Bombyx mori: one gene and its partner. The protein of the gene in region 1 binds, or shares a complex with, the protein of each later gene. Links are inferred from orthologs where the notes say so. Each region holds a gene or a part of one and is shown on either strand. Other genes may lie near its edges. The genes, in order: NADH dehydrogenase [ubiquinone] 1 beta subcomplex subunit 10; NADH dehydrogenase [ubiquinone] 1 beta subcomplex subunit 11, mitochondrial.

What was found.
Region 2: the proteins of NADH dehydrogenase [ubiquinone] 1 beta subcomplex subunit 10 (region 1) and NADH dehydrogenase [ubiquinone] 1 beta subcomplex subunit 11, mitochondrial are in contact, whole or in part, in a cryo-EM structure (PDB 8BA0), measured with the Drosophila melanogaster proteins. The link is inferred for Bombyx mori from reciprocal best matches to the Drosophila melanogaster genes ND-PDSW and NP15.6. Residues at the interface, in NP_651972.1 of Drosophila melanogaster: Trp40, His42, Gln43, Phe45, Thr50, Ile51, Asp52, Ala65, Phe69, Arg70, Arg71, Met74, Val75, Glu78, Ile79, Ile82, Leu83, Arg86, Ala112, Asn115, Trp116, Ile118, Lys119, Ala129, Tyr133, Gln136, Lys137, His138, Arg139, Leu140; in NP_650774.1 of Drosophila melanogaster: Gln101, Phe102, Arg103, Trp105, Ala106, Gln107, Arg108, Glu109, Gly110, Phe111, Leu112, Glu113, Leu114, Val125, Ser126, Pro127, Asn128, Tyr129, Val130, Asp131, Pro132, Ser134, Ile135, Thr136, Leu137, Pro138, Leu143, Glu147, Ile148, Ile149.

The regions. Positions count from the first base shown.
Region 1 is NC_085123.1:6,798,273-6,802,871, forward strand, and holds NADH dehydrogenase [ubiquinone] 1 beta subcomplex subunit 10, read right to left. Parts: upstream 2,838-4,599; 5' UTR 2,783-2,837; coding exon 2,686-2,782; intron 2,617-2,685; coding exon 2,481-2,616; intron 2,480-2,480; exon of another isoform or gene 2,290-2,479; intron 1,918-2,289; coding exon 1,778-1,917; intron 1,179-1,777; exon of another isoform or gene 1,053-1,178; intron 720-1,052; coding exon 613-719; 3' UTR 543-612; downstream 1-542.
Region 2 is NC_085116.1:8,701,204-8,704,081, reverse strand, and holds NADH dehydrogenase [ubiquinone] 1 beta subcomplex subunit 11, mitochondrial, read right to left. Parts: upstream 1,549-2,878; 5' UTR 1,276-1,548; coding exon 844-1,275; 3' UTR 771-843; downstream 1-770.

The DNA of each region.
Region 1 (4,599 bases):
GGGATACCCCGCTGGGCCAGAACCAGCCTGCCGGGTCGGAACGGGACGAAAATGCGGACCGCATCGCAGTCCGCAGCCGCCGACGCGTCGTCCCGTCCTCCTGGTGCCAGCGCGCTAGAGTGACGGTAGCGTGCGGCGCAGTCTCAGCCCCCTTAGGTCGCCCCGTGACCATCACCGGGAGGAGACTGCCTTCTCATAGGGGCTGGAGCTGGACAAACGCCCTCCTCCGAGCCCCGGCTCGACGGCGGCGGCACGGCGCCGAGAGGGAGGAAGAGTTCTCCCTCTCCCGTTCCGCCGCCTCCTTCTGCGAGATGGTGGACTCGCAGAAGTCGAAGACTGTTGAAGCTAGACCAGCCTTTCTGCCGCTTTTAACCAGCCAAGACTATTAATGTTCTCTGTATAATGGTTCATCACCACAAGAGTAAATGTTCTTACTAATATTCACAACAGGAGGCACAAGGTAGATGGACTACCTAACTAGTTATTTACTTACAAAAAATAAGGTTAGATTGGTATAAAATATTTAAACATAAACAGAAAATAAAGACAGAGGATTATGAATATTTATTGCAACAACAAGTTTTATCTACTATTTATAACTGATTTAAATGATCACTTTGTAAGGTCTGATAAGGGACCATTGCGTCGTTCCCAGACCATGCGATGCTTCTGCTTCATGTAAGCTTTTCGCGCATCACCATAAGCACCGAGGTCACCATCTGAAATCGAATATGAACAGTGTTTAAAATGTCATCACTGTATGAGAGCCCGCAATTAATAAGTTAACATAAACAATAAAAGAGTATTTCTTTCATGTCTTTATCATATGCCTATTTTCCAATTCTATGTTTTAATGCATTTCCGAATTAACAAATAGATACAAAAAATATAGTGGTGGAAATAGAAAACATATTAAAAATAATTGCAACATCAACAATATCAATACCATGATGTCAGTGACCAAAGACTTTTTGCTCAACAAAGGTTTATAGTACAGAGGCAGTGGAGTTTACTGCCATATAATGACATAGACAGCAATCCATTGATATTGTGTCACTTCATGAGACCAACTGACAAATATTAGATAATCCTACCTTTCACACAGGATCTCTGATTTCTTAGAATATTACAATCTATAATTGATATATCTGAGAAATAATGTTAACTCGATTTTTCAAGTATGTTATCTCTCTTATTAAAATAAATTAACCCTAAAAACAATCAGACCGGCCTTACCATTCTCAAGAAGGAAACTATAGGAAAATGAATGTTATAAAATTCAATAGTACACAGGGTTGAAGTTATTGTTGTCTAAAAGACATTTCTTTATATAGCTTAACATTTATACACAACACCTATTATTGTCCTGTTCCACAGAAAGTCATGCATTCTGCTTTGCAAGGTGGGGTGGCCTCTGCATAACCCAACAGATATTTTTTCCTTATATTTAAAAGTGGGTGTAGGGTTACTCATGCTGCTGTGTCACATGGTAGGCTCTGAACTGATCTGGTGCAATTAAAGAAAAAAATTGTAAGGTCCTTTATTTCATTCAATTCAATGCTTTTTACTTAGACATGTCATTTTTTTTTTATTGCTTAGATGGGTGGACGAGCTCACAGCCCACCTGGTGTTAAGTGGTTACTGGAGCCCATAGACATCCACAACGTAAATGCCCCACCCACCTTGAGATACAAGTTCTAAGGTCTCAAGTATAGTTACATATACATATATTTGATAAAGCATAATTAAAGAGTATCCCAAATTATGAATTACATACATTTAATGAACCAAGCTTCCTCAGCAGACTTGTACTTGTCCCAAAGAGACCTGCATTTAGTTGCATGGTCTGGTTGCTCATACATCATGCAATCTTCATAGCGTTGCCTAAGAATGCTTAATATCTCAGAGTCTACTGCCCTAAAATGAAATATATTATTATAATAGACTAGCTGACCCGGCAGACTTCGTGGTGCCTCAATCTATAAATAAAAGACCTAAACTTTTGTATAAAATAAACTTAAAACAAACAAAAGGAATCCGGCTGACAAGGGACACATCAAAGGAAAAACAACATTATTTTTATTTAGCTCCAAGCATTTTCATATTTATTTACCTTTTAAACCTTCTCTGGACTTCCACAAATCATTCAAGACCAAAATTAGACAAATCAGTCTAGCCGTTCTCGAGTTTTAGCGAGACTAACGAACAGCAATTCATTTTATATATAGAGATAGATAGATAATTTCACTTTCATACAACTATTAAAATTAAATGTAAGTCTATATTCAGTTATAGTTCTCCAGCAGTTTGAAGGAGGATGGAAAATAAATTCATGCCTAATACAACAAATTGAAGAGTTATTACAAAATATTTAATGGAACAATTGGCTATTTTCCAAAGACTGTCCGTTATTTTACCTAGTTACTAAGTAGCATATTATTAACCTGATTATGATATTAAATGAATGTGATTTAGCTAACCTGTCTCGTTTAAATTGAGCATTAGCCTCAAAGTCGCAAACGACGTCGTCGTCGTAGCACTGGTCAATAGTCGGTACACGACGGTAGTTTTGATGATACCAAGGGTACTTCTTCTGGTTTGGTTCGACAACAGTTTCTGCGTACAATGAAAAAATTACTCACTTACATAACAACACACTAGTTTTATGATATCAAATTAACCCACCTCGGAACCATGTTACCGGAGCATCGACTGTATTGTAGAGAGCATTGCAAAATGCTCTAAACACATTATCATCAGGAGGATTTCCGTCTTGTACCATATTAAAATTGAGATATCGTTGTTTAAATTTTATTAAATGTTATTTGTCTTCTCGCCCCTTCTCTCATCTGTCAGTTTTGACAGCTGTCATCTCGTTTCTCGCTTTAGTTTCATTTGACTATCGGATAGGCACAGGAAAATACACCCCAAACAGGTAAACCTTAATAACAAAGAGACAGCTCATTTCTATTGTTCCAATTCCCGCCAAAAAGTCCAGCCGTGTATTTATCAGTAATTTTGTCAAAAAAACTATATCAAGAATCATCCTGCAGTGACGTTGCTATACCATCTGAGGCCCGTGGCAAATCGGATGAGGCCCCAACATAAAATGATAGCGTTGTAATTAAATGTTAATAAAGTAACGAAGTAGTTAGGTACGCAACAGTATTACTGTGTACATTAGTTAAACGTACAAATTCTAAAATGAAGTTTCGTCATACGATTTCATAAAGCGTTTAAATCATATTAATTAATTTTAATTTGTATACGATCTATAATCATAATTAAATATAATTGGTTTTAAGACATTATGTTAAATATCTTTTTTTAAGTATATTTTGTTCAATATGTTACTTTATTTTATGGCCATGGCTTTTCCCAGTCCCGCCACCCTATATTTATTCCATATTATGGAGGGATGAGCTATTTTCAATAATATTATGCTTAAAATTTGTCACAAAATAATATTATTGTACAGTCTATGCTCTTAATTTTTGGCAGAATGTTGGGCCGCCAACTTCGCCAAGTGCTTGTTCTATGCGTATTCATTCTGCGGAGATTAGAATGAAAATGATGGTGAGGAATAAGTACCTATAAATAATAGTTTTTTCTATTGTTCCCTCTGTGCCTTCCTAACCCATTAATCCGATTGTGCCAAATTTTATTAATGCTGTCTAGTCAAGTCAAGGGGAGGTTTCTAGTATTATATGTCATATTTTTCAGAGAAATTCTACTTAACTAGGAATTGGAATGGAATTTGGCGTTTGCCGGGACTGTTAATACATTAAAATTTTGCTTTGTAGCGCTAGCAAACAATTCGCCGTTGCTATCGTCAGTCGGTATACACAAATAATTTAGCTATATATTATTCTGGTCATAATTAAACTTTTTTTTGATATTTCCATACATATTCTTTTTTTTATTTTTTAAATAAAAAAATAAAGAAATATTTACTAACAATCACGCCACGTTAACTAGTCCCGTGATAAGTTCGTAAAGAACTTGTGTTACAGGTACCAGATAACGGAAATAAATGTAAGATTTTTATTATACACATTCATATATTTAATATACATCCATAACCCTGGAAAATACATTTATATTTATCATACAAATATCTTCCCTTGGCGGGATCCGAGCCCGCGACCCCCTTGTGTAGTGACCATGTCACTTACCACTACACCAGACGGCCGTTAAATAATAGATATAAATATTACTTATAATTACATATAAATCAATACTTTTTTTCTCAAACAGCATTTATCTTTTATTCAAATTTTCCATTTGCATTCCGTTTAGAGGGATAAAATGGCGTTTTCCATTACATTCGACTACAGCGTTGCAGCGCCTTAATAACTATCCACGTACTGACGAATATTTAAGCTGGGTGACCACGCCACATTAATAAACTAAGGATATCTTAGTTTACTTTAGTTACTTCCACAGTGTCATGTCCTATGGCATTTTGCTATGGGGCAATGCGGCCGATGTAGAAATGATATTTATTCTGCAGAAAAGAGCTATACGTGCTATTTATAACATGCACTCAAGGGAATCCCTGAGGGAAAAAATTAAAGAAATTAAAGTTCTCACTATGCC
Region 2 (2,878 bases), on another chromosome or scaffold:
CTTCAAACTGAAACACATCACTTCAATGCAGAAATACACTGGTTGGTGGTACCTAGCCACATAGACTCTCAAGAAAGTGTCTAATTATCACCAGTAATCTGGTTGGTTTTTGTTACAAGATGTTTTTTCTCCACCCTGAAATTTTATTGCGAACATGTGTTAGGTACATGTATCATATGGAAAATTGGTACCTCGCTGTCAGATTTAAACATCAATCTAGACACTATAACTCAATATGATTACACCTTTGAGACAGGACGACTTCATATATTAGTTGTTTAGATTTTTCAGAGCAGTCGTGATCACTATAATGTATATCAAAAAACTCTACAAGGAACATATGAGTTGTCTATTATCAAAGGTGGCATTCTGTGCATTTGGACAAAAAAATGTTATTGATATGTCAATACAGATTGATTTGAATTTAATCGTCTCCTTCAAAGAATACGGTTCAAAACCTGCATTAAATAAAGGTTAATACTTAACCTGTTATTTATCTAAAATGTCGTTCAGAAGAGTTTTGTAACTGCCAATAGAATACAAAGTCAATAATTTGTTTTTCTGATTTACCAATAATTGTCCAAAAGTCACATTGCCGGCTTTGATAATAGTCGACTCATATATACAAACATGACTTTCGTATATATTAAATTTAATTCATCCTGAAATATTTACACAAATTTTCTATAAGTATAAGTAATACTAAATGTATAGCAATCTTAGGTATTTACAATCTGTTTTTTTTTAATATGGCTAAATTAAAAACAACAAACTGTTAACATAACTTTACTATGTACTGAATTCTTCTACATATGCCATATGTATTGGATAGAGTGATTATATTTAGATGATTATTTCAACATCACACAACTCGGATTCATCAGGCAGCTTTATAAGTTTGGGATCAATAAAGTTGGGACTGATCGGTGGAAGACCTGCTTTTTCACGACGTCTTAATTCCAAAAATGCTTCACGCTGAGCCCAGTCCCTCATGTGTACATCGGGAGAATAGGCCCAACAGACACCACCAAAAACAATACATAATGTTACAGAAAAGAAAAAGGTGGCGTGATGGGCATTAGTGTCTTCTTCTTTGCTCGTATAGTCAAAACCGTAGCTAACCCAGTTCTTATCTTCTGTTTTGGTCTCACAAGCAGTTGTGGCGGTGTCGCTGTTCTTTTTAGAGGTGGAAATATTCCGACTTACTTTGTTGAAATGATTCCAAACGCTTCTTTGCACTAAGGGCATATGGCGTAGTTTTATCAAAGCGGCCATTCTAAAGACTACTATCCTCAAATTCACTGATTGAACTGTTCTTATTACTTTTAAATTATATTTATCTGACAATACATATAATATTGGCCAATTGGTTATGAAATCAAGAAAATTTACTCTTTTTCCACGATTTGTTTACGGCCATTGATCACCAGACCTTTAGGTTTCTTATAGTTTTCAAAATGATCAAGGATTTTCACAGATGATTAAGGACACTACTTAATCTTTGTTCGGGTCTCAGATTAAGACACTAATTATTGCCTTGAACCACGCCGCAGTAGATTTGTCGTATTTTTTCTAAGTCCGTAGACATGCATAGACATAACATGTAGTTTTACGTTCTACAATAGTTTCATCTACGCCCTAAAGATCCCTTTAATGGGTATACTTAATACTTATTTTACTAATAGTACACAATTCAATTAAATAATACTATTTAATACGGCAACAATATGTACTATTAGTAACAATATGTAGCCATACGGATGGATGGAAACGAATGCCAGCTTTTTACAACGGAAATTGTAAATCTGTAATTGAAAAAAGACCACTTGATTCCTATCACATTCTGTGGGAGTTTGAATGTTTAAGTAGGTAATGGCTTGTAGGTACTTATTAACTCCATGGTAATGGCAGACAACACTTGTCACTTAAGTGAAGTGACCGCAGCGCACCTTTCTTGAGGTGCGCTGCGGTAGTGTGTTACGGACTTAAGAGTCAGCAAAACAATTAAAATAGATAGTAATAGTCTAAGAAAAACACGTACTCAAAACACGATAACATTCAGCATGCTAGAAATGGGCAGATGGCACTGTACTACGCCATATCTTTATGTTTTGCGGCAAACGACAACTTTATAAAATCAGTGTAGCAACTTTTAAAAATCATCATATCGTTTACTTGGCAAATTCGAAGGATGAACTTGTCTTAGATTTCACACATCTAAATTATATCATATTTGCACATAACAATATACCTACTTACTTCCCATTAAAGTATAAATTCTACAAATAAATAATACTCAACAATATTTAAAATAAAATGAGCCAAGAACGTTTATCGATAAAACCTGATACATTGAAATCTTTTGTACAGCACTAAAACCGCCATGTTTTGTGGTCAGATGACGTCACAGTGGCACGAATTTTTGTTGACATTTCATTTCCATAGGTTTCCTACTTCAGTGAGGTAGATATAATTAAATGTTAAAACGTGGTTAAAACAGTTGATTGTCTTCTGTTATGACAATTGACTTCTCATCTAGACACGGACAGTAAAACATATTAGGGTTATATAAACATAAAATATTGTAAATGTTTAATAGCGTAATGTTCGTAATTCAAATTAACCATGAAGTCAGTGTTTTAAAATAACTCCTCACTAGACTTGCGCAAAACATCACTTCCCAATGTAATGTGAGATGACATCACTTTTACAGATAGGTGATATTACTCGAAAACATTACACATCACTCTTAACATTACTCGGTGCGTTCAATAGATACTGTGACGACGAATACATTGTATCTATACACCCGAATCATTACCTAAGTGATGTGTTGATACACATCACTTAGGTAATGATTGATTCGGGTGTGTCATTA